Linked DNA regions of Drosophila melanogaster. The protein of the gene in region 1 interacts with the protein of each later gene in a pairwise test. Each region holds a gene or a part of one and is shown in the gene's direction. Other genes may lie near its edges.

Region 1 (15,737 bases):
GGATGTAAGTATACAGAAACAAATATATTATATATTGGTAATTAAATCAGCCACAAGCTTCCTCTTTGAAAAGAAATGATTATGAATTATGAAAGTATACACATTCTAAAGCATTATTATTCGAATTCTTTCCTAGGAAATTTTTAAAATTATCCAGTGTTTACACACATGAATTGTGTATTACTTTCGTACTTTCGGTATACTTGAAAATGACCTTTACACAATATAAAACTGCTCTTTTCAACAGCTCAAGGGATCCTTCTCCTCCAAAGGCGGTCCACGCACCCAAAATCCCTATTCGCGGGGTAACATTTGCCTGAACTGCTGTCACATCCTGTGCGGACCCATGACGCCCTCGCTGATCGATAGGTAAGTGACCAGTTGGCAGAGTTCCAGACCATTATGCTAATTGGATTAACCGGCAGACGCGGCATCGCCACCGACGAGTTCATCCAGCAGATGCAGCACCAGTCGAGTCCGCGGCACGCACTGAGCGATGTGCTGAGTGCCTCGCACATGGTCACCACCTCGCAGCCCATGATGGGTGGTTTAGGTGGTGGTGGCATCGGTGGTGCCGGCGGCGGGATCAGCATTGGTGGAGCGGAGCTAAAGCCCCGATTCTACGACGAGGTAAGCGGCCAATCCAGCGGCCACATTGAGTCAATCCAAGAGCACCCTTTCACCACCGAAATCTAAAAATATCTAAATGTCTGAGCACACTGCTTGCTTGATATCCTTTATATATTTATATATATATATCAAATCCAATCAAATCAAAACTCTCGTACGATGAACTCTTTTGTGCACATCATTTTGACGATCTGTAATTCAAATTTTTTTCTTTTTGTGTTCTATGCAATGTTCTTTTTGGTAATCTACTACTACCTACTACTACTACTCGTATCATACACCACAATCGACACAATCACACCACGAATACGACCACGATAACCAGTCCAATCCCTCCTCCTCGACACTGGAGGGCAACGGAGGTGCCATCAATGGCCATGGGAATGGCCATGGCAACGGCTTCGATCATCCGCCGCCCAGTTACGATCTTGTCCAAAACGGTAAGTCCCGCAAGCATCACCAGCAGCGCTGCTCCCTGCAAACCCTGCTGCCGGCCAGTGCCCAGCAGCAGTTCAAGGCCAGCAAACACAAACACAAGCAACTGAAGCAGCACCTGGTGGCCGCCGAGTTGCAGCAACATGAGGGCGGTCCAGGACCGGGTCCCAATTCGCCCTCGCTTCTGCGCTCGCCGGCTACGTCCTCCTCCTACCGGTTGAACCTCAAGCGTTCGCTGCACCTGCCGCTGACACCGTCGTACGACGATGTCCGCCACTCGCCGCTCCCGCTGCTGCATCACCACGTTCATGCCCAGCAGACCACAGCCATTGGCACGGTGGCAGCAGCAGCAGCGGCGGTGGCATCCGGCGCCAGCGGCACCAATACCGGTACCGGCACTGGTACGGGTGGTTCCTCCTCCTCCGCCACCACCACCGCACCCACTTCGGTGTCCGTGTCGTTGGCCACGGCACCACCGCCGCTGGCGCCACGACGCCCGTCGACGCTGCAGCTGCAGGCCAGCGGAGCAATCTCCGCCAGCAACAGCACTCTGACCACCATACACACTACGGCGCCGCAAGCGCCGGCGCCCACGGACTTCAAATACTATTCGCCGCAACGCAGCACCGACTCCAATCTGATGAGGAACTATCCGTTCCCGAAGGCGGCACGCGGAATGCGACGTCAGTCGACCATGTCGGTGGACTCGCAAAAGGTTAATATAGCCGGCTATCAGCCGCTGCCGATGCGTAAACCGTACAAGCACCAGGAGGTGATGTTCGAACTAAAGTCGCCGACCAACCGGCTGACGATTCGCGAGTGCGACTTTGGCGGTGGCGGTGAACCCTGCGATGACGATCAGTCGATCAAGGACAGCCAGATCTTTCGTGTTAGTAAACGAAATCTTTATATGAATCACCGGTCGCCGTGGAAGGAGCGCGACCGCTACTCCAATCTCTATGAGTATTCGTTCAACATCGATCTCAACTCGATCATCGAGGATGCGGCGGGCAGTGACTCGTCATAGTACGCAGCAGCAGTCCGCTGCTCCGCCGCCCTGGGCCACGGTCACGTCCATCGCATCGGTGGGCTGGTCCGTCTCCTGGTCATCCTCCTCGATCGGTTGTTGGGCGCTGTACATAAGGCCGGGCCCTGGCCAGCCCGATTCCTAATGCTTCCACGCTTTTGCTAAGGCGCCACATCGGGTCCAGTTTTCCGGAATGTGCCCCACTTATTTTGGGGCAACTCTGTTTAGCTTTAGACTCGAGAGCAGCTTTTCGATTATGGCTATAACTAGGAATTCGTTTAGGATTTAATATAAGGGCTTGACTAGGCATTGATTAAGTTTTTTTTGAATAGTTTGCAATGTACATATATTTTAATCAAGGCTGCAAGCCATTTGTTGACCGAACTATTTTGAAACGGTTCGGGTTTATTTCAAATTCGGACTGTGATGGATTTTATTTAAGAAACTAATTCTATAATGAAACTGGCTTATTTATTTACACAATAAGATTCTAATCAAAACCGGATAACCCTATAATTTTGCCCAAAAGTCGCATTTTTTTCACCATCTATTTACCATTTATCAATGTGATTTCTTTGATTTCGATTTGCAAGCAAATATTTTGCTCAACTGAGTGTTGAAAACTTGGAGCCAAAGCAACGGAGCGAATAAATTTAAAAGTTTGCAGCCTTGATTTTAACTTTGAGGGAATCTATCACAGTCTGATTGTGGCACATTTGTGAGACTCACTTGGCTTCCAGGATGCGCATAGTTGTTAGTGCAAATGTAACCGCTACCCTTTTGCAGCCTGAAAATCCGCATCTGTATCCGTATCCGTATACTCGTATTCGAATCTGCATTTGTGTGTTTGCACTCCCTCTTTTTGTAGAAGTCGAACTTGTATTTGATTTGTGTTTAATGTTTGAAACCACCAACCCTTGCTGTAGACTTTCCCCCCGTTCCACCACCAGTTCCAGTTCCACTTCCAGACCCCCCGAAAAACTTGGTTCATAGAAACTTTTGCGTTTATATAGCACCTGCTTCCCAGGCTAGGTGCGTCGGATCCCTCCTGCTGCAAGATGCGTTTGCAATAGGGGGCGACTCGGCGCCAGGGGCCGCTAAATGCCACCCGTGTATGTATGTATCCACCTTGGTCTACGTCCCAGCGCCGCCACCTCCAATAGTGAAGACACCAACTAACCAACTAACCAACTAACCAAGCAACCAAACAACCTACTAACCAGCAAACCAAAGATCCAAAAAACCAGTAAACTAGTAAACCAGTAAACCAACATCCCCAGCCAAGCATGTTTGACTAAGTTCGCCTGGTAAAGTGCTTAATGATTTTGCTTTTTGTTGGGAACCTTGTGAGATTTTTGTAAATGATCGCAGTCACTTGGGCCTTCAGTTGAATTCTCGATTAATTTGGAAGGTTTCAGCCGAACATAGATTATGAACGAAAACTTTAACTTGCAATTAGTGAAATTAGCAAAACAAAACAAAAAGAACCGAAAAGAATATGAAAACAAAAACTTAATGAGCCAAAATAACTGCCATTTATCGAAGCAACATTTTGTTAGGACTTTTTTCATTTTTACAATGAAATTTAAAATTAATTGTAAACGTAAACTAAACGACGGAATTCAATAAGAATTTGATAAACTATGTATCAGTGCTAAGGGAACGTCGAACATTTTAAAACTAATAGTGGAAAACGAGAAATTGTTGCAAACGAATTGAATATCAAATATCGAATATGTCTTAATCTTGAATATTGGAACATTGCCAAGTGACTGCTGCAAATAATTAGCAATAAACAAAATACCGAACAATGCGAAATGTTGAAATTGAAATGAAAATGAAAACGAATATTGAAATTGCAAATATTTATACCTAGTTCGTAATAGTTGAAAGACAAACATTTTTCGGGCACTAAATTGCTGGACTTTTGTGGAGGTGAAAATCGTAGGTATACATATATGTAAGCCAGCTTAAAGAAGTAATTGCGGCTCAAATGCCGCCTACAAGGCTTTAAATCTTGAGCATTAACAATATTATGGGTTCCTTTTATAATTAATTGCAAGTGTAATACGCATTAGCCAGATAATTGAAGTTGTAGCTAGTTATATATATTATATATATACATATTATATATATATGAAAGCGAGTGTTAACTGATGAAAACGTAAATTTATACATGTACTTATATACACACATATGTATGGTTAAATGTTGGGCAATAAAGTGTATGTAGCGTATGTTTAATGTGGATCGAAAGCAGATCCATAACTATCTATAAGTACTAATCCCGATGTTGAAGCGTATCGCATCCTTTCAGGAAGATCGTGAGACCTACTTGCGATCCTGAACGATTATTGGAACCATATATGCATATGTAGCCCCCGGCGAATCACTCACACACACATAGACACGAAATGAAGGCTTCAGATTTTCCACTCCTCTACATTTTCCATTATCCATTATCCTTTAGGCTCCCCGATTTTGATTTTGACCGGCTAAAGCTCGCACACATCCACCAAGAAAAAACAAAGCTATAACCCTCCTCTTGATTTATCGCACACTAATGTCAAACTCTTTCTGTATCTTTCAACTTGACTCTGGGATTAACTAACAAAAAAACAAACAATACTTACAATTTGTGTCTGTAACTATTTAATGACCCAAACTAAAACTGCAATTGAGCGAAAGTTGTCGAGGGCCGCTTAAGACTAGAGTAAAAATGCATTTTAAGCCTTAATTGGGTGAGTTCTCTCCTAATGCAAACACATTTGATTGTTGTATGTACCGAAATAAAAATAACCAAACACCGAAATTTAATCAAAGCTTTAGAGTTTCGTTTGAAATTAGCTACACCATAACCATACATATATCTTTGAGTTTGATTTTCTGCTGCTTAAATCGCCACTGCGAAATAGCTGATATTCTATTATGTTGCTCATGTCGATGATTTGTTTCCACCATTAACCCAAAATGCATCACCATTCAATATAAAACAACCATCCGAACACAAAACAAAAGTCAAAGTTTAATATGGTATTTAGCAGTAATTTATTGGCAAGCTACCTACTAATTGCACTCACAACATTTTGAAAGCATGCTTTAAATTGTTCAATTGGCACCGACTTAACCACTGAATCCATTATCCATTAATTAGCGTCCAGTTTCCGTCTTTATTTGCGCATACTCTACGGCGTTTGTCATTCAATTTTCAGTTATCATTGTTGTTTATTCGGTTTTAGGAGCTTATCAACTGATGAGTTTCGAATTAAGTTGATTTCCAACCAGTTCCGAGGCAGTTTCTCCTCAGATTGCAATTACACGTGTATTAGTTCGATTGAACACACAAAACAAAACCCGCCCCCGCATTTGATTGAATTACGATTTTAATTTGGCGCCCTTTTCAGCATTTATGATTATTTGCATATTTAAATAGTTTTATTTTGCCACAGCTAAACGATAGCGAACCTAAACAAATCATCAATGACCACTAGCAAAAGAGCAATAAAACCACTAGATACAAATGCTCCAAATTGAAATTTGAATTTTAAATTAGTTGGCAAATTCGTTGTAATGAGCATTTCAATTATATACGTGCATTAATTAAACATACAATAGAACGAAATTAAATATCAATTACTAATCACGCGCTTTCGTTGCGCCCTTCTCCCCTTTTTTTTTCCGTCTCGTTTCCAGGTAATTCCAATAGTCTAGCTCAGCTGGTGGACAACGAGATACCGCTGGTCCAAATGGACATTCCGGCTTATACCCACCAAACGGCCACCCAGGCGCGTCAGTACCGCCATCGTCATCACAAACAGCGCCAGATATGCAATGGCGGCACTGTTAGCTATGAGAATCAGTTGGCCAACGCCAGCAGCGAGGATGAGCTGGATGATCCAGATGTTGTGGTCGTGGGCAGTCCCGAAGTGGTGGCTGCCGTGGCAGCCATAGCCTCCAATAAGGCAAGAGAAATGCGCAACCGCAGCGGAAGCTATAGCAATCTCTTCGATGCTGACTTCGAGGCGGCACTGGTCAACTCCTCATTGGCGGATAACCATGTCAGAGGTGAAGGAGCAAGCAGTTCCGGAAAGCCCTCTGCGGGCGCAGCTCTATTAGCGGCTGCCATCAGTGGAAAAACGGAGAACATGTATAGCAATGTGTTGCCAGTGGACAATGATACGGATCCGGCCGATTCCACGCTGCATGTATACTCCAATATCATCGATGAACGCAAGCAGCAGGAACAGGCAAACAATGTACTGTCCTCCACTCTGCTCTGCGACGATCTCGACCTGGACGATCCGGTTAGTGCTTCGTGTCATGTGAAAAGAAAGTCCCTGGGCGATGGAGCCGAGCAGGTGAAGTCGGCGGAGAGATTGAGAATGCTGCACGACAACACGATGATAGACACGGCCTTGGATTTGGACAGCTTGGATGGCTCCAGCATGGGCAACAACTCACAGTCGTGCCTGGTGAAGTCGGGCAAACCGAATGCCACTTCCGTGACCACAAACGTGGCCATAGTCTAAGCGGTCCTCTTTGTCCTGTACATAAGTGTAGATATTCATGTCAAGGGGGAGAGTATTGTTAAGTTTTCCCTACTTTTAACTGAATCGATTTTCATTTACTATGTGTGGTGGGGGGAGGGGGTGCGGTGATTCGATGGAGAGGGGGGATATAATGAAACGACCTATCAGCAGGCAGATAAAAAATATTACCTTAAAGCGTTACGCATTTGAAACAGAAAGAGAAATATATCTATGCATATATGTAGATGATAATAACTAAAGCATTTACGGATATATGTATGCATATGTATAATACAAATGTGGTGAACAATGTTAACAATTTGAGGGCATTAACAAAGGACAAATTAAAGGAGCAACCAATACTATGGAGAAACTGTTTATACAATACACGACGCATACATATAAATGAGTTATAGGTAACATATACATAATGATAAACAATATACAATGTACGGTTAGTTATAGTGTATAATTTTTGTATTTAAGTTTTTACAAACAGCAGAAACAGAAAGGGGTTCGTTTCGCAGTTCAGAGTTTAAAAAACATTTGCGGTGTAGCCAGAAACCGAAGAAACAAAGAAAAGAAAGCCAACTAGAAATATCCTGCAATATACGTGAAGTTGAAATTGTCGAGTCGATGAGAAAATGTTAACAGCATAAGAGTTAAAAGCAACAATGTGGTGTATTAAATGTTCATAAATCTACCAATAAGTGTATTTTCAAGGTGTAAAATGTTATATGACATCAATTAAAACGAGTTCGAGATTTCGACAAGCTCCATTGCATGAGAGGGCAAGAAATGTTAAGCGTATGTTATGCGAAACTAACAAAACTACAATTATACAAAGAATAAAGATTTATAAATAGAGAATAATGGTGTATTGCTTTTTGGGAAAGGCCATCTAGGTGTTGAATTGAATAAGAATGATGCAAACTGAAACTTAGAAATTAGGGTTTCAGAAATTTTTTCTTAAGTTAAAGTTACTCCAAATTTCAAAAACGATATAAGCCCGCCAAAAGTAATCGATTCATCGGTAACAATTGGTAAGCTTGTTAATGATGGTATATTTGAACGGATTGGCCTTGGTCACACTGACATGGACACCAAAACACAAGATTCAGAATATGTGGAAATTCATCCAAAAAATAGCTATTTAAGGTAATTCCTGACTGAGATATGAATACCTTAGCTTAAAATCAATTAATTTCAGTGCCCAGGAGCTCATTGCGCATCGTCACACTGAATTCGAACCTCCGAGTGGAGGTCTAAAGCGTACTAAAAATGAGGGAACTGCAGCGGAAGTTGAGGAGCTTAAACGAGCGCAGGGTTCGAATTTGTTATAAATATTTAACACCAATATATATATTATTATGTTTATAACATTTTAGAGTATTTGCGTGCTCAATTGTCAGTGCCTCGAATAGAAAGACTCGGAGGAAGGGCACTTGCCATTTGGAACGAAGAGCAACAAGTGGCAGAAGTCAAACGCAAAGATGGTAAATTTGAAAATTTCGGATACAGTGAGCAGGGAAAGCTCTATTTGGAGTACTATGAAGCTATGTTCCTACTAGAAGTTGTGAGTTATAAAATCGCCCTTTAAATTCAATCGAGATATATGGAACATGTACTTTTCAGGGACGTTTACAACTGGAGTACTGTGGTTTAGTAGTTTCAATTGAGCAAGCATATGTGCTCCTCCTCGGCGAGTTGGAAAGCGAAAGGTACACCAACTACCTAGTTTACTCGGCTTTATCCCGATCTGGCTATATAGTAGTGAAACATGTGCCTCCTAAGGAAATTCCACAAGAAGTTACGAGTGCAGATTGTATTTGGGCACTGCTGAAGGAAAAAGTGGGAAATCTGCCAGTACCAGATCATATCAAAACCTCACCCATTTATCCTATCGCGGAAAAGCGTATGGAAGATTTAAAGGAACTTATAACATCTCAAAAGGCAGAAGATCCTAATATTGTTGTAGATCCCATAGATTTGAAATTCGGACAACGAAAACGTATGGCTGTGGAAAAACCAATCGAAGAACCTGCTAGTAAAAAAGAAAAATTCTCCACAACGGGCCGAAGTCTCGTGGATCAACTAAAAGGCGAATTTGCATATGCCAAATTCGAAGAGATCTTTGAAAAGTTCGATTTGGTGCAACTTGAAAGCCAAGATTATACCAAAGACGAATTAGATACGCCCTCTGCTTTGAAGATAATCTTTGATTTACATCTGCACAATAGGGGTTTCAAAAAAAGTGCACCCAACGCACCAAACTTTAATGTAATTATACTTCCATCGCAGGTGGCGTTTCCCACCCACGACAAAATCTCCAAGATTAAACATCTTCTCACCGCACCACTGCTCGTCATATCCGTAAGCGAATCCAAACAGATACAGGCCTTTCTGTACTATATTAGTTGATGATTGCCCATACAGCGGATGTGCCACCTCAATAAATTGTACGTGTTAGTATTTTAAAAGCTCGAATAGTTTATTTTATTTACCAGACATTGTTTATAAAGAATGCCGGCACGAGAATGCCCAAAAGAACAAGCAAAACTAATCAAAATATCCAAATATCCGAAAAAATGTATTTATTTTGATATTCAGGCATTGTTTCTGAACAATTTGTGTTCAGCTACGGTATTCTGTTAGTTATACCCTACATTAAAAATCTAATACAAATATGTTACAGGAGGATGTTCCTATGGTGAACTCATGACCAGAAAATTCAAATGAAGTATATCCCCATCGCATTGGTCAAAATGGAGGTAATCAGGAGGAGACGGGAGACAGACACAATGTTAAAGGAAATCCAATTAAATATGGATAAGATCATAAATCGTCACAATAGCACTTTAAAGAGTTGGATTCATTACTGTTCCAACACAAGCTGAAACAAAATTAGCACAAATATACATAGATTCAATGAGTTAAGAAGATAAGCCAGGATCATAAGAATCAAATTTGAATTTGATCATGACAATACGAATTTCCTACGACAATACACTCAAAATTTGAATTGACCAATTCGGGTTATACTCGAAAACGGCCAAAATAAAAGCACTGTTAATCGGAAAGCTTTGTGCGAAAAGCTCGCGTGTCTGTGCGCAGTGAAACCGTTAGCCGAATCGGATCGAATCGAAACGGAATCGAAAGCCTTTTCATTCACTCAGTCACTCTCAACTCACGCAGCACAGAGGGTGGGTGGAAAACAGTCGGGCGGAGCATTCGAGAATCTGGGCGAGAATCGACCGACCAAGTGGCGCTAAGGGAAGGCTAGTAAGGCATCCGGCTAACAAACTACCGAATATTTCGCGATTTCTTCAGCGAAAGGCCCGCAGCAGCGACGTGTATATCTAGTATACATCATCATCATCATGGTGAGTGTTTTCAGTGCGCGGTTGCTGTGATTTGTGTTTTCGTTTCTGCTTAATGCCCAATTTATTTTTATTTGTTTGTAACCCACACACACACACCCCAAATGTTTCACTCTGATTTAAAACGGCCTTGCACTCCAACGGGGGAAAGTGAAGCAATGGCTTTAAAATTGAGGATTCAGAGCGGTCAAATCGGCCTTGAGCCACTTGCATTGCACTTGACCTTGCAGCCCAGCGTTGCAATTAAGAAAGTTTCGGGGCCACAAGCTTACTCAGCTTTTTTTTTTTTTTTTGAAGCTGAGAATGGGGTATGAGATGAGAATGAGAATGAGAAGCTCCCGGTCAGCTGTTCCATGTTTACGGTTTTGTTATAAATAGAGCCTCTCCTAATTCCAACGATTACGAATCTGTGAAATTCCCTACCCGAACAAAACAAATTAGCAACTGAAAGAAACAAACAAACAAAAAATAAATACCAAAATTTCACATTCCAAGCTCGAACAAACGAATTTTGACGTCAAAATCCCGATTTGAATAAATTTATGACCAGTTGCTCGGCACACAGGAATTTCTGGCGGGGCTTGATTCATTAGCAAGTCCCCAGCCTCGTCGCCAAAAAAAGCAGTTTAAATGTGTTTATTGGCGCTACTCGAACTAGACAGTCATGCCGGTTTTTAGTCTTGGTCGCGTCGCATTATTAAAGTGTCAAAACAAAGCAAAAAAATTAAAAAGAACACCATATAAAAGATCTAGAGGCGGGTTCCATAAAAATTCCTCTAAGTTTGCTGGATAGTTTTTTAGTTCCGTTTGAACGGAAAGCATGTGTGCAGTTCTTCCTAGAAAATTATAGTTATAGTTAGTTCTAAAAATAAACAAAGGAAAATCATCCTAAAAATACATATATCGAAATCAAAAGCCGAGTTTCGTAAAAATCCACGTGAGTTAGCTAGCTGAATAGTTTGAATAGAAAGCACTTGTGATGTCGCTGCTATAATTTTCTATAATTACCCTTAAGTATTTGGGAACCTCGACACTTGTTAAATCACCATGTACAGGTTAGTTTTGAATTATTAACAACGGCGAATCCTTGGAAATGACATTGAAAAGTCACTGAACTACACAATCTATATAAATGTGAAGAGAAATTACGTAAATGAGCTTGAAAATCATAAATTCTCACACGCAACAATTTAAATGCGTAGAAATGTGCCATAAGAAAAGTCGGTGAAAAACAACGTCTGCGTTTTTATGCTCTGAGGAAAATCGAAAAATCTATAGGTGCCAGGCAGCAAACAACCTGGGCATTATTAAGCTGTCCGAATCCGAATTCATTCATTTTCTATATTGTATTTTCATTTTTTTTTTTACCCCATTTTTCGACGGGTGCGACAATGCGGAACAGGCGAAAATCGGCGGGGGCCTTCAAAATACAAAATACTATATCAAAAGCTGATCTGCACACACGCTATATCTATCTATCTATATGGTCACGGGCCGACAACGGGAGCGATGGCATTGTTTATACTAATCTAGATTTTTGTTGATGAGATCAAGCCATTATCAATACCATTTGTGTGAATGGAGCAGAGGTGCCAATTGCCCCAAATTACCCCAAATTGAAATGATATGTGTGACGCGGGGGTTTTCTGTACAAGATCAATGTCAGGGGCCAATGAAATATGTGTAACCTATATATATATAAAATCCCATTTTTGTAGTAAGAACACTATTTCGTGCTGGCAAAGTGCCCAAACTACTAATAACTACATATTAACCTATGCCAAAATACATCTCGGATGTAGTTCAAACTATAAGTCGGAGATATCTAACCATCCTCACCAACTATCTCGATTGTGTAGTTATTTATGTGTCACCAAAGGGTTATGAAGAAGGAGGCCGAGGAGAAGCTCAAAGCCGAGGAGCTCCGTAGGGCACGTGCCGCCGTAAGTAGCCCAACTGGATCGAATCCGAGTCAACGGGCACTATATCCTATTTACTAGGATTAGTTGATGTATGGCATGTTAACTGTCTGGCCGCCGCTTCACCAAAAAACAAACGAATTTCGATCCGAGAATATTGAAAAAAATAAACCCTCTTTTGAAACCCTCTATCCATGCCCCTTAATCCAACTAAGCTTGCGTACGTGTTACCACTAAACCAGCTAATTGTAGATGTTCCTATGCCTCGGTGTTGTGTGCCTGCTAACTCAAATCTTGTCCTTACAGGCTGATATACCCATCATCTGGATCTTGGGTGGACCCGGGTGCGGCAAGGGCACTCAGTGCGCCAAAATCGTGGAAAAATACGGATTCACACATCTGAGCAGCGGCGATTTGCTGCGCAATGAGGTAATTTGGGCGGAAATACTGGAATAGTCGGTGCTATCTGTTGCTTGCAGATGGCAAGGGTGTATGGCGATTTTGGAAAATGATTATATTTGGATCGCAAAATTCATTGCTATTCATTGTTATTACCCAAAGTATTGCGATGCGAACTTAAACTATTGAGATAATTATACGTTTCCATTGAAAGAATCATTTAATATCTATATGGTTACTTTCAATTCAAATTAGCTTAGAATTTCAATTGTTAATAATTATTTATTAGTTTCTAATATTCCTCTATCTTGTAGGTGGCTTCTGGATCGGACAAGGGTCGTCAGCTGCAGGCTGTGATGGCCAGCGGTGGCCTGGTGTCCAACGACGAGGTGCTGTCCCTGCTGAACGACGCCATCACGCGGGCCAAGGGTAGCTCGAAGGGATTCCTCATCGATGGATATCCGCGTCAGAAGAACCAGGGCATTGAGTTCGAGGCGCGCATTGCACCCGCCGATCTGGCGCTGTACTTTGAGTGCTCCGAGGACACGATGGTGCAGCGCATCATGGCACGTGCCGCTGCCTCGGCGGTGAAACGGGACGATGACAACGAGAAGACCATTAGGGCACGCCTCCTGACCTTCAAGCAGAACACCAATGCAATTTTGGAACTTTATGAGCCCAAAACCCTTACGGTTAGTATCGCATATGCATTTTCCATGTGCAAAAGTCCCCCAATAATTAGCAACTCTTTCGTTTTAATCACAGATCAATGCCGAGCGTGACGTGGACGACATCTTTCTGGAAGTCGTCCAGGCCATTGACTGTGTGCTGAAGAAGAAGCAGCAGAATGCCGCCGCCCAGTGCTAGTAGAATGCTAATCCATTAGGAAACCGGTACCAAAGTCAACATTTCTAGTGCACTTTTTAGCGCGAAACACACAATCTCAGAGCTGAGCACAAATGAATGCGAAACACCAAATAAATTAGTCTAAATCTATGTTATGTTATGTTATGGCATTATCCTTTAATTCGTGACAAGCAATAATTGATCTAGTGCTTTAAATAAATTTACACATACAAATGGAATGTTTCGAATCAACTTTAGGCACCCTCCACTCGTTTTGCCTGAGAGATCATAAAATGTTAATAATTAATTGAGCAATGACTGTAATTTGATAGTTTGCATTTTCTCCAAGTATTCTATAAAAATGCTAATCTTGACTAGGCACGATTTAGGGCTTTAATTTAGCTAATTATTCATAAACTAATTGAATGATCCAAGGGCGCGTGTGTTTGAATGGAAAACATTTGAAAACGATTGCCTTGAATGTTGTGATTGCCACGTGATTTATTATCGAAAACTATAAGACTACATTTTGTTCACTGAACCAGTTTGCTATCAGCGTTTAAATGTGGAAGTTCCAGTAGAACAAATTTATCTAAAATACCTTGCTAAATATCTCATTTACATGGACATTTTCGTTGTGAACGAATACACTGATTAATTGCTGCTCTACAAGGAGTTTTATAGACACATATAAGATTTCGTCCATTTACTTATTTATGGTTAAATGGCGAAGACGCTTTTTATAGAGGCACTTTCCAAATTCTTTGCATATATGTATCTTTGCTACACATTAACAAGTTGCACCCGATAAACTGCTCTAGTCACAATAAATTATATGGCTTTGCTAGCGAATTTAAATCAGATCAAGTCATTGGATTAATTGATCAACTGCCAGAAATCCGTTGGGGATTTCTTGCTGAGCCCAGTTAAATCAGAAAAGTATTTTGGGCCATAAGATGATATCAATTTGTGATAAATCTGCCATCGAAAGGAATGTTCTGCCAACGAAACGAGTGCGTCACGAACATCGATTTGAACGCAAAATAGAACTGACACAATTTGAACTGAAATGAAAATCTCCAATCTCGAAACTGGTAACTGGTAGTAATAGAATCGTCCATCTATCACGGAACTAAATACCAGACGTCATCGTGTGAATGTGGAGCTCCCCATCCAACTGGAGTGGCTTCGAGTTCTTGACGTTCGGATCGAGTCGAGTCGAGTGTAAAGTCAATAGCGAAATATTATGTAAAGTAAGTGGTTTTCGGAAGATGGCCCATAAGCAATTATGGGGTTCGTAAATTATGTAAAGATCTCTGGAGGACCGCGTGTACGAAAACCCCAAGCTAACAATGTGAATAGAAAACGAAACAGTTAAACCGCTCAGAAATTATCACTTTTATCGATCGAGATCTGAGATCCCTACGAAATGCGGGAATTCCAATTCCACAAAAATCAGCATGACTAAACAGACAGAAAAGCCGAATCAGGTTTCAGTTTTTTGTGGCTACTATATGTGTGATTTTTGTTTTTTGTTTTTATTTTTTCATATTCAATTTCTTTAGATTTTGCAACATTTGTTGCTTTCTTTTTGTTTGCGAGTCCGCTATCACGCTTACAACTAAAATAAATATAGATGTTTTTAAATAGTTAACGCTATAAACAATGTGCAGATTTCAATGAGAGCTACGATATCACAAGATTGGAGAATTCCTTTAAAAAACATAAAGCTATAAAGTTTCAGTCAGTGGTTTGTTGGGATGATTCCATCCGCAAAATGAGGCATCCTAAATGAGATTGTTATCACTGTACTGATGGTGGTGATGTTGCTGCTGTGGTCGCAGGTACTGCTGATGTACTTGGCCATGGCTACCAATCTTGCTCTCGATCCAGTCCAGATAGTGTGTGACGCGGGTGAAGCCTCCGGGAATATTGGTCTCACAACCATCGGCTGGCCCGAAACTGGTTATGCCCACCACTATTTGAGTGTCCTTGAGAACGAGTGGACCGCCAGAGTCACCAGTGCACACTGTCTCATCCTTCAGGCCCTTGGCACAGATCACTCCCGACGTGACCACATCGTACTCCTGGGCGCACTCCGCATTTGAGATCACCTTCAGCTCGGTGTACTGCATCGAGTCCGAGTTGGTCATCTCCACCATGGCGCCCCATCCGCTGGCCACCACGCTCATGCCCGCGAACTGGTCATGTCGATATCTGCTTGGCAGCGAGGCGGGCTGAATTCGCGGTGTGAATGCCACATCCTGCGGCAGCTTGACCAGCGCAATATCATTGGCCGCCGTCTCCGGATTGAAACGTTCGTGCACGATGAACTTGTTGGAGCGGAGCACCAGACCGCCGGACACCTCCGTATCCTCCACGCTCTTGGTGCCCAGATACACATCGTAGTGGGTCACGCCCATGGTGCAGTGTCCAGCTGTTAGGATCCAACGTTTGTCCAGCAGTGTGCCGCCGCACAGAATCCGTTTGCGCCATAGCTGCTTGCCGATGAGCATCACCTGGTAGGGGAACTTCTCGATCCTGCCGTACTTCGATTGTCCCACGGCGTAGC
Region 2 (16,290 bases), 7.1 Mb from region 1:
AAGCAGAAATCACGCACATACGCAGCAGCGGGCAAGATTCAGTCCATTGGCTACCAGAACAAGAACATGGGCGCCAATATCGCCCTAAGCGAAGCCATGGGCACCACGGCCAAGACGATGGGTGAAATGAATAAGGTGATGCGACCGGAGGCCATCGGGGAAACAGTGCGCCAGTTCCAGGCGGCCAACATGAAGATGGAAATGACCGACGAGATGATCAACGACACGCTGGACGACATGCTGAATGAGTCCGGCGACGAGGAGGAGTCCAATGCCGTAGTCAACAAGGTGCTCGACGAGATCGGCATCGAGATCTCCGGCAAGATGTCCAGCATCCCGGCCACGGGATCCTCAGACTTTGAGACGAGTGGCAAGCGCACCGAGAAGGACATTGCCGATCAACTGGCCAAGCTGCGCTCCTCTTAGTCCTTACCTGTTTTTCATTCTATTTTGTAACTACTGTGAACATCGCTGTTATCCATAGCCCGTAAGAAATTATATTTATGTACACCGCTTACAAACGAGCTGTCATTCCACCGCCAGCCACAATGGACTCTCCGGTAATGTAGCCCGCATCCTCGGAGACCAAAAAGGAGACCACGCCAGCCATCTCCTCACTGGTGCCCAGACGACCCATGGGTATTTTGCTCAAAGCCGCTTCATTCGCCGACTCATTCTCGTACAGTGCTTTCGAGAACTTTGTCCTGATGACTCCTGGAGCCAGGCAGTTGACGCGAATGCCCTCGGGCGCCAGATCCTTGGCGGCTGCCTTGGTCAAGCCAATCAGCGCGGTCTTGCTGACGGAATAGGCTCCCAGTAGCTATGCGATTAAGATAACGGAGATAAGCATTGAACAACTGAACCGCAGATAAGGCGACTAACCTCAAAGGCATCATAGCCAGCAATGGAGGAGACGAAAACGATGCTGGAGTTCTTTTGCTGGCGCAGGAGAGGCAGTGCCTCCTTGGCCAGCAGATAGGAACTCTTCACGTTCACATCGAAGATCTTGTCCCACACCTTCTCATCGCACTCGAGGACACCGCCGACCGCAGGATTGGTGGCTGCATTGCTGACCAGAATGTTGAGCTTGCCAAACTTGCTAATGGTCTCCTCAAAGAGCTGTTTGCGATCCTCGGGTTCGCTGACATGGCACTTCAGACCGTGGACATTCAAGTTCAGTTTGCGCAGCTCCGCCAGAGCAGAGTCCACATTCTTTTGCTTGCGACTGCTGATGACCACTGCGGCGCCATCTTCGGCCAGCCTTTTGGCAATCGCGAAACCAATGCTGGGAGGGATTAATCAGAATTTAGTGGGTGCGATCCTCTCCAGTTTCTATTGAGCTGCTTACCCATCGGTGGAGGCGGTGACCACGGCTACTTTTCCTGCCAAACGCTTCATCGTGCCGGCTGTCGAACTTTGACTACTGCTGGACAAGCGTTTGTGGCATTGATTGAGATTAGGGCCAACAAGTTTTCGGCTGTAATTGTTGCTGTTTTGATCGAAACTTGAACTTTGACCACTTCCACTCACAGCGCTGGCATTCAGACGGATCTTGGGCGCCCTGACCACCAGTTGTTTGCTCAGATGCAACATTTTTGAAGTAGGACTTTTGCGAAGGATCTTGAGATTCGTTGCCTAATAATTGATTTTCCCTATTTTAACTACGAATCTCCAAACTGTTTACTAGTTCTTCTTTTCAGCGGTTTGCCATTCACAGTGAATGAAAAAGCTCATTCGCCGGTGGCGCGAAATTTGAAAATTTATTAAAGTTATCTCTGCAGTGGCTTAGTAATAAAAACCAGATTAACCTACATAATAACTAAAATTAGGGCTAAAAATATCATTTATCCCTAGTCAATATGTTGTAATACTCCACTTAGGGCCACTCAGTCATGGGCAGATAAGAATTCTTGAAAAGAAAATCTTCCCACAGCAAGATAAACGCTGCGTTTCGTAATAATATAAACAAAGATAAATACGCATGACAAACAAACCGCAAAAAGTTGGAGAATCGCTTGACATAATGGACTGTTTTCGGATCCGAAACATATATATGTACTATATATATGTACATACGAGCCGAAAGTGCAAATTAATAGGGGATCGCAGCGATCCGTACGATCTGACTTCATTATAGACGCAGTCGTCGGCGGAATCAGCACGCAAGTGGAGTCTCCGGTTTTCCAAGTCAATCCGGCACGCGCTTACGGCTTTGTTAGTTAGCAACTTTTCGCAACCGTCGGCGGGGCATGTGATACGAAAAAAGGCGCCCATGCTAGTGAAACTAATCAGCAAACTAAAGATACACTAAGCCAAAGAATATTAAGTGAAACACACATAGAACAAGATGAGCGAGCAGACAAAGGAAATCGAAGCTCTGCCGCCCACCTTGCAGGACTTCAAGGCTCCCGATCTGCCGGCCAATAAGCCAGTGCTCTTCTTCCATCCGTACAACTTCCATGCGCAAAAAGTTAGTAACCGCTTGCTTTCAATCATGTGATCATTGAAAAGGTATTTGCCCAACAGATCCAGCCGCTAATGCCGCGAAATTACAAAACTAATCATTTCCAAATGAAATCATCGTTTTATTTACTTTTTTTCTCGTATTTCTTTTGTTTTTTTCGATGTAATAATGGGGTGGCCCGCGTCGAAGGTTCTCCACCCAAGATCTTTATTAAATCTCTCGGCCACTCGGATGCAATGGAGCATGACCTAGCGGGTGGCGGGCCGGAAATGTAGTAGGGCTAGCGCTATTGGAGTTCTCTAGTTTTCCATTCTGTACAGATATGACAGCATATTTACCTGCTGGCTGCTCCAGGTGCTAATGAAGTGGATTGAAGCGGAGTGAAAAAACAAAATAAACAAACTTATGTGTGGAGGAATCTGCTCCAAAAGAACGTAATATAATAACTAAACCGAAATGATTTAATTTAATGCCAGATCGTGTCTAAAAATATCTGTTTTGGTTAATGAAGCGAGTAATTAGTAGCGGAATATTGCATCTTTGGGTTCGTCTTTAGATACATTTAAGCAAATGCACATATATACTTAATATCTGAGTTATAAATCTGCTAATATCATAGCTCAGTTAAAGTGAACCCACTTATCATCGCAGGTTCTTATGGTCTTCTACGAGAAGAAGATCGACTTCTTTCCCTATGTGGTGGACCTGTGCAATGGCGAGCAGTACTCCAATTGGTTCCTAAACCTCAATCCCAAGGGCGATGTGCCAGTGCTCCAGGATGGCGCCCTCGTCATTCCCAGCTCGACGCACATCATCAACTATGTGGAGAGCAAATTTCGCGGTGGTAATTCCCAGTTAGCTACCCGCCCATAGTAACTTGACTTATCAACTTCATCATTTAGATCGATCGCTGAAGCCAGCGCACAACTCCAAGGAATTCGATCAAATGCTGATCTTCGAGCAGGCAATGGCCCGCCTTCCAGTGGGAACACTCAGCCTGGGCTCCTTCATACACGACGATCTGAAGCTGGTGCCCAAGGCGCCCTTCATCGGACCCGTGCGCCAGTCCTGCCTGAGTAAGTTACTCGCACCTGTGAACTCAACAACATAACTCAACAGTCAACACTCGTACGCCCCGCAGAAAACAATGAAAAGGTGCTGGATCTGCTGCGCCACTCGGTGGACGAACAGGCGACCAAAAAAGCAGCGCTGCAGCACAAGCTGGACATACAGTTGCGCCGCCACGAGCTGGCCTCGTCCCGCGAGGAATTCCAGAAGGTTCTGGATGCCGTGCGGCACTTTCTGCTCTATGTGGAGCAGGAGCTAACCGCCCAGGCGCCACGCGTTGAGTGGCTGACCGGCGACGAACTGAGCGTGGCGGATATCTCGCTGGGATTGCTGCTGCATCGACTGTATCAGCTGGGATTCGAGAATCAGTTCTGGACCTTCGGAAAGCTGCCGCAGGTGGAGGCATACTTCTTGCGCTTCCGGCAGCGCGAGTCCTTCCACCGCCTGCAGCCGAGCAACTTTGCCATACTGCGCGAAATGTGGACCCGAACGCCGGGCAACTATAAGCTAGGAGCGGGCGCCGGCTTCCTGGGTATGGCCATGTTCGCCGCCTTCGCGCACAAGTGAGCGGAGCAGCGGGACAGCAGACTTTGTTAACAAATCCTTTTACTGTTAAAGTTGGGCACATATAAACACACGAACATAAGAACGCTTAAAGCTACGCACTGCTGATGAAGGATGCTTGGGGTGTCATGGTAAGAATCCGGCGGTGGAGGAGGATGAGGAGAAGAGCGCGCGATCCAGTGCCAGCCTCGGCTGCTTGCTTAGTAATATCATCATCGTTTCATATCATCGTTGCTGAATATACAAAAATTTGGTATAAATTCCAATCCGTCACCTAACTATCAATTCCTTCTATGCTTGATGGCTGCTCTCCCCTCTGTTGACTTGACCAGGGTTCAGCTCTCAGCTCTCCAGCGTCTGCTGCTCGCGATCCCTTTCCCGTTTCTGCTGATCGGACATCAGCAAATTGGCGGCTGCACTGGCCGCCTTGGGGCTGGTGAACAGCGGCATTCCCATAAACGTGGGTATCTGCTGATCCCTTGGCACTCCCGTCGTTGCCGCCTTGCCATTGAGGTTGGTCCTCGAACTGTTGGATCCCGAGCTCGTGGTGGCCGCACCCGTGGATAAATGCGAGGGTCGCTTGAAGGGGAAGGTGGGTATCTCTCGCTGATAGCTGAAGCTTCCGTTGCCAGGCGCCTCAGGCAGCAGACCGGGCGTGGGATACCAGAAGCGATAGGTGAAGTACCAGGTGAGTATGGCAATAATGCCGCTGATCACCTTCTCGATCATGCGGTGATAGTACAGCATGGTGCCCACCAACATGATGTCCCACAGCAGCTGCAGGGCCGCCATGCCGATGAATAGGGTGCGAATGATCGGCGTCAGGCGTTTGTACAAGAACTGCAGGCTGCGCATTTGCTCCTCGTTCAGCGTTCTCAGCGGATTCGTGCCCGAGTTCTCGGCTGTGCTGCGATTGTGTCGCTCGTTGCGGATGTGCTCCTTGATGGTCTCCCAGCGGATGATGGGACGCGCCTCCTCGATCAGCACCAGGCTGGAGTGGATCAGGATGAAGGCGTGTCCGGATATATCAAAGCCCTTCCACAGATGACCAGCCTTCAAACAGCTCGATTTGGTCGCATAACCTGGAAGCGCACACGCGATAGTTATTATTAAATTCATTACACGATGCTTGTATACCCACCCTTTGTGGTGCAGCGTCCGTAGGAGTTCTCCACGACGTTAAACAGCTTGGTCCAGAAGAACCAGAAGAAGGTGGCTATGACGATGCGCGGGAAATGGTGTCGCAGCATCCGTTTGTGGTCGCCACACGTAATCGTATAGGCCGAGAGCACCAGGAAGGGCACCACGAAGAGCAGCGTCCAGCCCCAGCCGATCTTCACGAAGTACTGGTTGAACAGGTTGTCCGATCGGGCGAAGTACGTCTTGGGGAAGGGCACAAAGTCCCCGATTACGGAGATCACAAACAGACTGCCCAGATACAAGGCTACTTTGAGGTCCGTATTGAAGAATATGGTCTTCTTGCACAAATGGATGACGCCCATGACCAGGATCTCGCGGATGCTAGTGGGTGCGGCCGTGGGCCTCGTTCCGCGCGCTTCCGACCTGGTGATGTCAGGTCCTCCGGGCCTGAAATTCATGTTGGAACCGGAGGAGGAGGGACTTCCCGCAGTACCGCCCAAATTTGGACGCAGCGGACGTCGCTTGGTGGCCATAGCTGGAGCTGTTGCTCGGGTCCAAAGTGTGTCACTTGAAAACTGCGTTGTTTGCTGCCGTTTTTGGTAATGCTGCGAGTGAAAAGCGAAAGTGAAAGCGAAGGAATCGTGCGTGTCAAAGTTCAACGGTTGCCAGACGCACTTACCTGTGACCAAACAGTGCCAGCGCATTCAAATCAGATCAACTGGTCAATTTGTTTGCTTTTTCGCCGGGCTTAGAGCACCCACTGCGTTGTTCTCAGTTGTAATTTTTCAATTCTTATTTTGGCCCAAATGTACGTGTTGCGCCTGTAAAAAATAGAACAGCTGCAGCTGGTGAGCACGCTTCACTGTGACTGGCAACTCTGATTGGAATTTTTATAAAGAGCGGGTTTCGTGGCGAATGGCAAGCCATGTGATCAGCTGTTCGGGCCTGAGATTTATCTCGAGCATTTTTAATTGCCGGTGCGGTTTTAATTGAACTGCGGCATGTACAACTCGGCCAAGCAGCTGCAGCGCGTGCTGACAGCGCGCGAGATTCGTAAAACCTTTTTGGATCATTTCACCGTCAATCATGGCCACAAGTTCGTTCGCTCCAGCCCGGTGGTGCCCTTTTGCGATCCCACTGTGGCTTTCGTTAACGCGGGCATGAATCAGGTGAGGTAACAGGCCCATTAAAAGCTATTGTTCGCTTGTTTATACGATGGCCTTCGCTGTAGTTCAAGTCGGTGTTCCTGGGCACAGCAGCGGCGCCACACAAGCGGGTTGTCAACTCCCAGAAGTGCGTCCGCGTTGGGGGAAAGCACAATGATCTCTCCGTGGTGGGCACGGATGGCTATCATCACACGTTCTTTGAGATGCTGGGCAACTGGTCCTTTGGGGATTACTTCAAGGTGGGTGCGTTCAGCTTACCCTCTATCACTTCTTTCTCACGAGACCTTTGGGTTTTCAGCGGGAGGCGTGTGCAATGGCCCTGGAGCTGCTCCGTGGTCCCTACAACATTGATCCAGGTCGTCTATACGTCACATACTTTGCTGGCGACAAGGTGCTGGGCATTCCAGCCGATCTGGAGTGTTTCGAGATCTGGAGGAGCCTGGGGTAAAGCTTGTTACATAACGAGAAGTTGGTTTCTTAAGTACTCGTGCTTTGCAGCTTTCCCGCCTCGCGAATACTGCCCTTTGGCTGCGCCGACAATTTTTGGGAAATGGGCGCTACAGGGCCGTGTGGTCCCTGCACCGAAATCCACATAGATCATCGCCCGGATTTGGGCAGCGTGGAGCAGCGAGCCAAGTTGGTGAACGCAGGTCGTTCCGATCTCACAGAGCTTTGGAATCTTGTCTTTATACAGTACAATCGGTGAGGATTTGCCTTCAAGTGGATTGTGTTCCTAGCCTAAGGTTCTTTATGCATTGATAGTCATGCCGATGGCAGCATCTCTCAATTGCCCGCTCATCATGTGGACACCGGCATGGGTTTTGAGCGGCTAACGGCTGTGCTTCAGAATAAGTCTTCTAACTATGATACGGACTTGTTCACGCCGATATTTGATGGCATCCAGCAGGCGGCCAAGACTCCGGTTTACAGTGGCAGCTTTCCGGATGGTGGAAATGCAGCAGTACTCGACACCAGCTATAGGATACTAGCCGATCATGCACGCATGGTGACCGCCTGTTTGGCCGACGGCATGCTTCCAGATCAAAAGTAAGCTTGTACTCATGCCCTGCAAATTTCGCATATAATCCAATATCTATTTCAGTCAGAAATTGCGTCGCGTGCTGCGCAAAGCTCTCAACATTTCGGAGCATGTGTTTGCCCACGACAAATTGCTGACCCAGCTAGTTCCTATTGTGGTGGAGACACTTGGTGAAGCCTATCCAGAGATGGCGGCTAAGCAGCAGGCTGTTATCGACTTGATCTGCCACGAGCAGGAGGTCTACAAGAATCTAAGAGAGAGTTCTTCCAAAGCGTTTGCAGAGGTGCTTATGGAGTTTCCCAATCTGGATGACATCGATCTGATGGAGTGCCCGGGATTCGTGCCCGCCTATCGAGAGTTGCAGATGCAGCGCTGCAAGTTTTCCAATAACACAATACCAGGGGACTTCCTTTACAAGCTGACCGATACCTACGGCCTGACCGAGGAGAGTTTCCTCAAGCTGGCTGAATTGGAGAACATGAACTGTGATTTGGAGCGCTACAGGGCGGAGGTCAGTCTGGCGAAGCTCAAAGCCAAGGGCAACCAAAGGGAGACTGCTGGAGGATCACTCTGCGATCTGGCCACGGAGCAGCGTATTGCTGAAGCTCAGGCGATGCTAACGAAGCGTCTGACACCCACCGACAACAGTCACAAGTACACCTACTCCTTCGACAAGGAGAGTGATTCATACCAAATACCCCCACTAAAGACTCGAGTCCTCGGAATGCTCCTCAACGATGCGGAAGTGTCACGAACCCAAGGCAGTCGCATACAGCAACCCTTCACCGACCTTATTTCCATTGTGACCGCTGGCAGCAATTTCTACTATGAATCCGGAGGTCAACAATCGGATGGCGGAAAGATCCTTGTGAGCAATCACCAACAGCCAGACCATCCTCATTCACTAGACGTAATCGGTGTAAAGCATCTCAACGATTGCGTAGTTCACATCTGCAAGTTATCCAGTCCCACCGACGCCTTTCAGCTGGCCATTGGGGATGAGGTGGAGCTGCAGGTGGATGCGCAGCAGAGACAGCTCAACACGTGCCATCACACAGGTGAGATGAATATGTTAGAGTTACTAGAACCGATTACAATCAATCCCTATAATTCTAGCCACGCATCTACTAAACGCCGCCATCCGATCGCTTTTCAAGAAGGTCACCTACCAGGTCTCCAGTTCTGTGAGCAGCGATCAGTGCAAGCTGGAGCTGGGACTCCTGGGCAAGCGCATTCAAAAGACCGATGTACAGCTCATCGAGGATCTGATCAAGTGGGTCGTCCTGATATTAGAAATTTTTATGAATTTAACTTACAATCCTTTGCAATAGTCGCGTTATCTGCTCTGCTGCGCCGGTTGAAGTTCAATTGCTGAGTGCAGCTGAAGTTCTGGAGCAGAATGACATCACAATGGTGCCCGGCGAGGTTTATCCTGAGCAGGGATTGCGTCTAGTCAACGTGGAGAGTCCTGAACTGCAGCTGAGCTCCAAGGAACTGTGCTGCGGAACGCATGCAACCAACACCAGTGAGCTTTCGTGCTTCTGCATCGTGAATCTCAAGCAAACCAATCGTGCGAGATTCGCATTTACCGCCGTTGCTGGCCAGGCGGCGGAAAATGTGAGTGGACTTATATATCGCCTTAGACTAGTCATTTAATCTTCTTACTCTGTTCCAAATAGGTGCTGAAAACGGCTGCCCTGCTGCGACACCGCGTTGATCTCCTCGAGAAGCAGTTCCAAACTGACAAACTCACAAACGCTACGGAGGCGGAACTGCAGACGATTCGGCACAACATGTTGCACACGGACATTAAACTGCCATACGCTTTTAAGATGGACACGCTGGAACGCATCACCGAGATGCTGAAGAGAATAAAAGATTCATCGCGCACAACCTTAAAGTAAGTTTAACTTATTAAAGTAATGTGCTCCATTTCTAAACTCTACATTTTCAGAGAATTTGTGGACGTAGAGATGCGCACGCTGCTGCAGGAGAAGCCGTTGGACACACACCCCTTCATTCTGCACTACATCACCAGTTCCGCGCTCGTGGAGGAGATTCCTTTGCAACGAGCCACCAAGCTGTGCCCGGATCGGCCCATCCTCGTAATCAGCGTGTGTGATAGCGTGGTCAAGGCTCGCTGTTGTGTACCAGAAAAGTGTATCACGGAGAAATTCAACGCTTCCGCCTGGCTGCAATCCTTTGCCGACACCTTTAATGGACAAATAGCCGCGCCCAAGGGCCAAAATCCGCAGGCCGTGTGCAACATGAAGGGTCGACGGGTGAGCAATCTGTTCGAGGAACAGTTGGAGCAGGCAATGTCCAAGGCACATGCATACGCTAAGCTTTATCTATAGGTATAAGTTGTGATTACCCTCCAAAATGTGCTAGCTGTAAGCTTGCCCTTTGAATAATTGCTCATGTGAGGAGCGAGTAAATGGCGAAGTTTTAAGGAATTTCAGAATCTTTAATCACTAATCACTACCAGGTCATCCTCCTCCTCATCTTCTGCGTTATCCTCTTGATCCTGGGGCACCAAGCTGGAGTTCATCAACTCTTCAAAGACATCCGCATTATCGGAACTTTGATTGAAGAAGTAACTTATGTTATCCAAGGGCTTCACTGGCGTTGGAATCTTTTCGCTGATGCGATGCTGCATCTTGAATCGCTCCACTGGCGTCCTGGCCAGCTTCTGCAGATCTCCCTTGACCAGCAGATCAAAACTGTCCTCCAAGGAGAATCGCTTACTCTGCGGTAGTTGATCCACTTGAGAGAGATCTCTTTTCGTTTCCACTTTGGGCGATTCATTCACATTTCCTAGACTCATCTGCGCCAGACGTAAGCTCAAATCTTCCGCCATGGGTTCGTAATGAAGCTGGTGACCATCGTGGTTGGTCAGTGCTGGCTTGGCATTCGGATTCGAGATAATGCCTTTAACTATGTCCGACATATCGAACTCTTCGGCATCGCAATCGCTTTCCAGATCGGAGGGCAGGAACTTGGTGATGGGGGTGGAGCATTGCTGACGTTGCGGAGCGGGAGCCTTGACCGGAGTACCTTCCTTCTTGCGCCCTAGGAATTGGTGCAGTAATGGCTGGTTCTCTTCAGGCTGAGCCTTTATCTTTCTGACCACTCGCTTTGGTTTCGAATTCGGCTCGTTTTCCTTATTCTCCTCTTCAGATGCGGTTTTCTTCTTTCGCGTGGTTTTCTTGGCGGGCTTCTCCTTCGACTTCAAAAAGGCCGCTACTAAATCGGGATACGCTGTCTCCAGCATGTCCAATGGCTCAATGGTGTAGTAAAGTTCCTCGATTCCCTTGGGATGCTCCGCTTCGTACTCCGCAATCTGCTTGTCCGGAATAAGACCCTTGAAGATGCCACTGGGATCGTGCCAGCGCAATTCTAAGCTGGGCACACCCTTCACAGTTCGCTTTTTGATAATCTCGTGTGGCTGGATAAGTATCTTCTCCTGCTTCGATTGCTGCACCTGCCAGCGTGTGAGTATGGGAAAGAACTTTTGGAAGCAGTATATTTCTGGCCACTGCAAGAGATGTCCGATTTGTTTGATGAATTTGACAAGATTTGGTTGCCGCCAGTTGAGATTTAGATTGGGAATGGTGTCGGGTTCGCTGAGAAACTCGGCAATGATCTCTTCGTTGGGAAAGTCAGGAGATAATAGGGCTTTCCGCCTCAAAGTCAACTCGGACTTAATGGATAGTCGTTGTTCTCTAAGGGAAGAGTTTAATAAACAAATGTTTATATTAGTTTTAGGAAATAGCTCACTTCCAGAGACTCTCATCGCAGCCTTTGTGTGTGCGACACACACTGCAGCCACTTTTTGTGTGGCTCTGGGTCTTGCCAATGTGGCCACAATTGCTGCAGATGGATTTGTCGTCCACTCGGATCTCCAAGGCATTGTATTTATCGGTTTCACCACGCCAGCTTCTCATTCTGCAGAAATAATAATCAAAGCTTATTAGCTTTAAAAATATAATATATGTAACAATGTAGTAGACTACCTATCCAAAATCTCAGTCTCCTTGTACTTGTTGAACAGCTTTAGGACGCCATCCTTGCCAATGCCACCTATGCCATCAGGACAATAATCACAGCCGCAGAGCAAAGCCATCACAATGATCTTCTGTTGGCCAAAGTCCATTCGGGATGTGATCTCCCGCATGTCGTAGATGTCCACAGCTCCGCCGGCGGCTGCCTGGGCTCCTTGGGTGGAAACGGAGAAGTTGCGATAGACACGAACGGCTCCATAGGCAAAGCAATCCGAGTCCTGGCTAATGACGCCGTCCACTAGCTGCGGACAGGAATATAATCGGATTTGGTACAGAGTTCTTGTGAGGATGTAGTTGATATACGTACGCCATGCTTGTTGAGAAAGGCACAGTAGGCCTCCGCCTCGCCGGGACCTTGGACGCACTGGATTCCCATGGAGAGCAGCAGCGTTTCGCACTGCTTGAGAACATGGTTGAACCGGCTGCGTCCCTTGTCGCCCTTGGACGGCTGACTTTGGGTGCACTCAGGCGAATTCTTGGGCTTCACTCCCCGAAACTGGAGCTCATTCCTTTTGGCTATCACCTGGCTCTTGAGTTTTGGAGCAACTCCCTCCAAAACGAAAACCGGAGTAACTTGCTCCCAAATCAAGTAGCAAGTGCGAAAGAAGAGGTTCCTGTTGGTAAAGCGTAAATATTAATATTTTAAAAGAATATAAGGTATTAAGAATTTTTTAAACCTACTTTAAATGATGCCTTGGATGCACAAAGTAGTCCACAACATTAAGAGATTCGCACACCCAGCCGGCCAGGTCGATGGCCACTTTCTTTCCCCGCAGTTCATTAATGGGTTTACGTTCACAATGGGGCGTTAAAACACCCCATAATTCCTTGACGCCCATTTAAATAAGCTAAACAAAAACCCCGCGAGAAATTCGCAACAAATTTAAACAATCGCTTCTTCGTCAGAGTTGCCCAATCAGTTACTTTCTAGCTACTTGAAGCTATATTCAAAAGCAGCCAAGTGCAAAGTTGTGACAATAATTGGCAATGATAACTTTTTTAACAATAATACATGATGCTATTTTCAATAACAAATATTATACATATAAATGTCATCTTATTCGATTTTAAGAACACATTTCGTTTTTAGCTTTTTTTGAGCTTGTCTCTAGCTACATTTGACAGCACTGCGACTTCCGCCAGTCACTGCGAAGCATGCTCGATAACCGATAGCGGGCTTTGTTTTGACAGCTGCACAAGCGACCGCTGCGAATGGCCAGTGGTCAGCAGTCTCTTCTTCTTCCACGTCGACGTGTCGTGTCAGCCAAAAGAAAGTCGAAATAAAATATTGAATTGAAGCTGCCCCTTTGCGAGTAGGCCCGACAAAATTCAGAAGCTGCCAGTCGTCCGTACGCCAAACCACACACAACCACCACCGGCAAGATGGTTCTCGCGGATTTGGGTCGCAAGATAACAACGGCGCTGCACTCGCTCAGCAAGGCGACCGTAATCAATGAGGAGGCACTGAATTCCATGCTGAAGGAGATCTGCGCAGCGCTCCTGGAGGCTGATGTGAATATCCGACTGGTTAAGCAGCTGCGCGAGAATGTGCGTGCCGTTATTGATTTCGATGAGATGGCCGGTGGCCTGAACAAGAGGCGAATGATCCAATCGGCTGTGTTCAAGGAGCTCGTCAAACTGGTCGATCCCGGCGTGAAACCCTACCAACCCATCAAGGGCAAGGCCAATGTGGTCATGTTTGTGGGTCTGCAGGGCTCCGGTAAGACCACCACCTGTACCAAGCTGGCCTATCACTACCAGAAGCGCAACTGGAAGTCGTGTCTCGTGTGCGCGGATACCTTCCGTGCTGGTGCCTACGATCAGGTCAAGCAGAACGCCACCAAGGCGCGCATTCCGTTCTACGGCAGCTACACGGAAATCGATCCCGTGGTCATTGCCCAGGACGGTGTGGATATGTTCAAACGCGAGGGTTTCGAGATGATCATTGTGGACACCTCGGGTCGGCACAAGCAGGAGGAATCACTGTTCGAGGAGATGTTGGCAGTGTCCAATGCCGTCAGTCCCGACAACATAATCTTCGTGATGGACGCCACCATCGGACAGGCTTGCGAGGCTCAAGCGAAAGCCTTCAAAGACAAGGTGGACATCGGTTCGGTGATCATAACCAAGTTGGATGGCCACGCCAAGGGAGGCGGAGCTCTGTCCGCAGTGGCAGCCACACAGTCGCCCATCATCTTCATCGGTACGGGCGAGCACATCGACGATCTGGAGCCCTTCAAGACGAAACCCTTCGTGAGCAAACTGCTTGGAATGGGTGACATCGAAGGACTGATAGATAAGGTGAGACATGCCACACGAGCTTAAAATTATACCGCACTACAATACAATTGAAAACACGTACTGAATATAAACTCATTTTGCACAGGTAAACGAGCTGAAGCTAGACGGAAACGATGAGCTGTTAGAAAAGATCAAGCACGGTCATTTCACCATCCGCGACATGTACGAGCAGTTCCAGAACATCATGAAGATGGGCCCCTTCTCCCAGTTCATGAACATGATACCCGGTTTCTCGCAGGACTTTATGACCAAGGGCGGCGAACAGGAGTCGATGGCGCGCGTTAAGCGTATGATGACGATGATGGACAGTATGTCGGATAATGAACTGGACAATCGCGACGGAGCAAAGCTCTTTAGCAAGCAGCCAAACCGCTGCGTTCGTGTGGCCCAGGGAGCTGGTGTCATGGAGCGCGAGGTCAAGGAACTGATTGCACACTATACGAAATTTTCGGCGGTAGTAAAGAAGATGGGCGGCGTTAAGGGACTGTTCAAGCAGGGCGACATGACCAAGAATGTGAATCCAACACAGATGGCCAAGCTCAACCAGCAGATAGCGAAGATGATCGATCCCCGGATGCTGCAACAGATGGGCGGCGTTGGTGGTATCCAAAATATGATGAGGCAACTGCAGCAAGGAGCTGCGGGTGGTTTGGGTGGCCTGGGGAACCTGATGAGCGGTTTTGGTGGCAAGTGAGCAGGTGGCGTGTAAATTTAACGATTTTTATATGATTTTGTTTTCGCGTAGTTCGTAATTTGTTAGCCATTTGTTTCCATTTGTCCAAGGCCACAAAAATTGATACGCGTTGTGGAAGCGAATATAGCGTATATAGCCTATAAAGCCCATATAGATGTGCAAACAGTTAACAAATTCGGTTTTTGTACGGCTTGGCAGCCACAGTGTCAGTTTTTATAGTTTAAACAGTTTTCTGTACACGAACTAATGGAATTAGCATGCCTATCAGAATACCAGTAAGGCAATTGAACTAGATATAAACAATAAATAATTAATATATGAACTTGGCTTTAAATTGGTTGTGTTTATTGGGTTTAATCTCGGGCAACGAAAAGCAGAAATCCAGTCACCCTGTTGACCTAACACATACAACTAAAACAAAAAACAAGTTGCGAACAGGTGCCCAGAAAGATCGAAAGGATGCCAACGCAGCAAGGAAACCAAAATAAACAAACAGGCTGGCGGGCAAATTGTTAATGCTGTTTTTGGGGGAGGGTCTGTACACATACTCAAATGTATGCCTAGTGGGGTTGTACACTCAAAAAAAAAAACCTGACAGAAATTTATTTTTATTTGTCTGAATCATAATGGGTTATCATAGTGGATTATTTTGCAAATCTTTGGAAATTTATATTCAATTTCTCTTTTTAAGTTTTGACAACACTTTTTTCTGCGTGTGGTGTTTGGTGGCTCAGCTTTTCTGGTGGGGCTGACAGCATCCCTCGATTCTGTCCCGGAAGTTGTGCTTCGTCTGGGATTTTGGGGTTGTCACTTTCTCTCTCCCTTGCGTGCTGAAAACTCCATAATCCCAGCCACTCTGCCTTTTGCAATAACAATGAAATGGCGATTGCCTGCCATAAAAATGTCTATTAAGCTGTCAGGTTCTGACACTCATAAAACCATCAAACAAGTCAAACGAACAGGATAGCAGCAAAATCAGCAGGACGAACCGCTGTCAAAGTTTTCGGCCTCATCCTGGCGGCTTCCCCACGCACACATAGGCTCACATTCTCGCTAGGAGATTATACATGTGTATGTGTGCTGCGTCCTTTCATATTTCTTGCGCCCCCCACAAAAGGACTTTATTTATGGGTGGGTGGGATGAAAAGATACAGATACACGCCCCCACACAGAGTCCAAATTATTTTATGAGCGCAGAGGCAGAATGCCTTTGGCATCCTTGGCAGGATAACCCTTCTCCAGAAGGATATTTCCTTAGATTTCCAACCCCAGCGTAAGATTTGCTGAAAAAAGCGAATCGAATATTCTACATACTAAATTCCCAAACCGTGGAATAAAAAATGCATTTAGTTTTTGTTTTCTTACAGAAAATCAATTTGTCTTTTATTGATTCAGAAAAAGTTCAGTTTCATTTTTTTGTGTTTTTTTTTTTTGGTTTTTGGATGACAGCATTTGCTCTTTAGGTTTTCCTTTTTCTTACCAAAGAGACGTTTTCCTCGTGTTTTTTTCTTTTATGTGTTCTTCAACACTTCAACTCAACGTCCACAGTTAAATCTTTTGCTATTTTCGGTTTTAATGCTTTCTGTGTAGCTTTCAAGTCGGGGCAGGAATTTCTCAGCCTGCCCTCGCTTAGCTTCTTGCTTGATTCTTTCGCTTCCGCTTCCGGTTCGGTTCTATACTGATCTATTCTCATTTCTTTTTTACTTACAATTAGATTTAATTTTTTTTTTCGTCATTTACTTTCTGTGTTTTTTTTTTTGTTTTTGTTGTTCAACTAGTCTTAAGCGAAA

Evidence for each region.
Region 2: the proteins of Tsen54 (region 1) and Gdap1 interact in a two-hybrid assay, tested with the Drosophila melanogaster proteins (one large-scale study listed by BioGRID).

What each region holds. Positions count from the first base shown.
Region 1 is NT_037436.4:12,197,986-12,213,722, reverse strand, and holds Tsen54 (tRNA splicing endonuclease subunit 54), read left to right. Parts: upstream 1-7,700; 5' UTR 7,701-7,717; coding exon 7,718-7,779; intron 7,780-7,831; coding exon 7,832-7,947; intron 7,948-8,009; coding exon 8,010-8,197; intron 8,198-8,256; coding exon 8,257-9,042; 3' UTR 9,043-9,080; intron 9,081-9,316; 3' UTR 9,317-9,600; downstream 9,601-15,737. Other genes in the region: app (approximated), read left to right, coding at 1-4, 248-369, 426-630, 956-2,092; Ak1 (adenylate kinase 1), read left to right, coding at 10,002-10,004, 11,861-11,944, 12,227-12,349, 12,634-13,011, 13,085-13,186; CG11529 (uncharacterized protein), read right to left, coding at 14,953-15,737.
Region 2 is NT_037436.4:5,139,958-5,156,247, forward strand, and holds Gdap1 (Gdap1), read left to right. Parts: upstream 1-1,995; 5' UTR 1,996-2,347; coding exon 2,348-2,470; intron 2,471-2,562; exon of another isoform or gene 2,563-2,823; intron 2,824-3,115; coding exon 3,116-3,308; intron 3,309-3,366; coding exon 3,367-3,540; intron 3,541-3,605; coding exon 3,606-4,099; 3' UTR 4,100-4,150; coding exon of another isoform or gene 4,151-4,164; 3' UTR 4,165-4,360; downstream 4,361-16,290. Other genes in the region: CHMP2B (charged multivesicular body protein 2b), read left to right, coding at 1-426; Dhrs4 (Dehydrogenase/reductase 4), read right to left, coding at 515-820, 883-1,285, 1,349-1,593; Fitm (Fat storage inducing transmembrane protein), read right to left, coding at 4,439-5,178, 5,238-5,940; AlaRS-m (Alanyl-tRNA synthetase, mitochondrial), read left to right, coding at 6,238-6,405, 6,468-6,641, 6,701-6,846, 6,901-7,104, 7,165-7,449, 7,505-8,499, 8,558-8,714, 8,773-9,058 and 2 more; Gen (XPG-like endonuclease), read right to left, coding at 9,909-11,166, 11,222-11,389, 11,458-11,747, 11,813-12,119, 12,187-12,344; Srp54k (signal recognition particle 54k), read left to right, coding at 12,889-13,806, 13,892-14,500.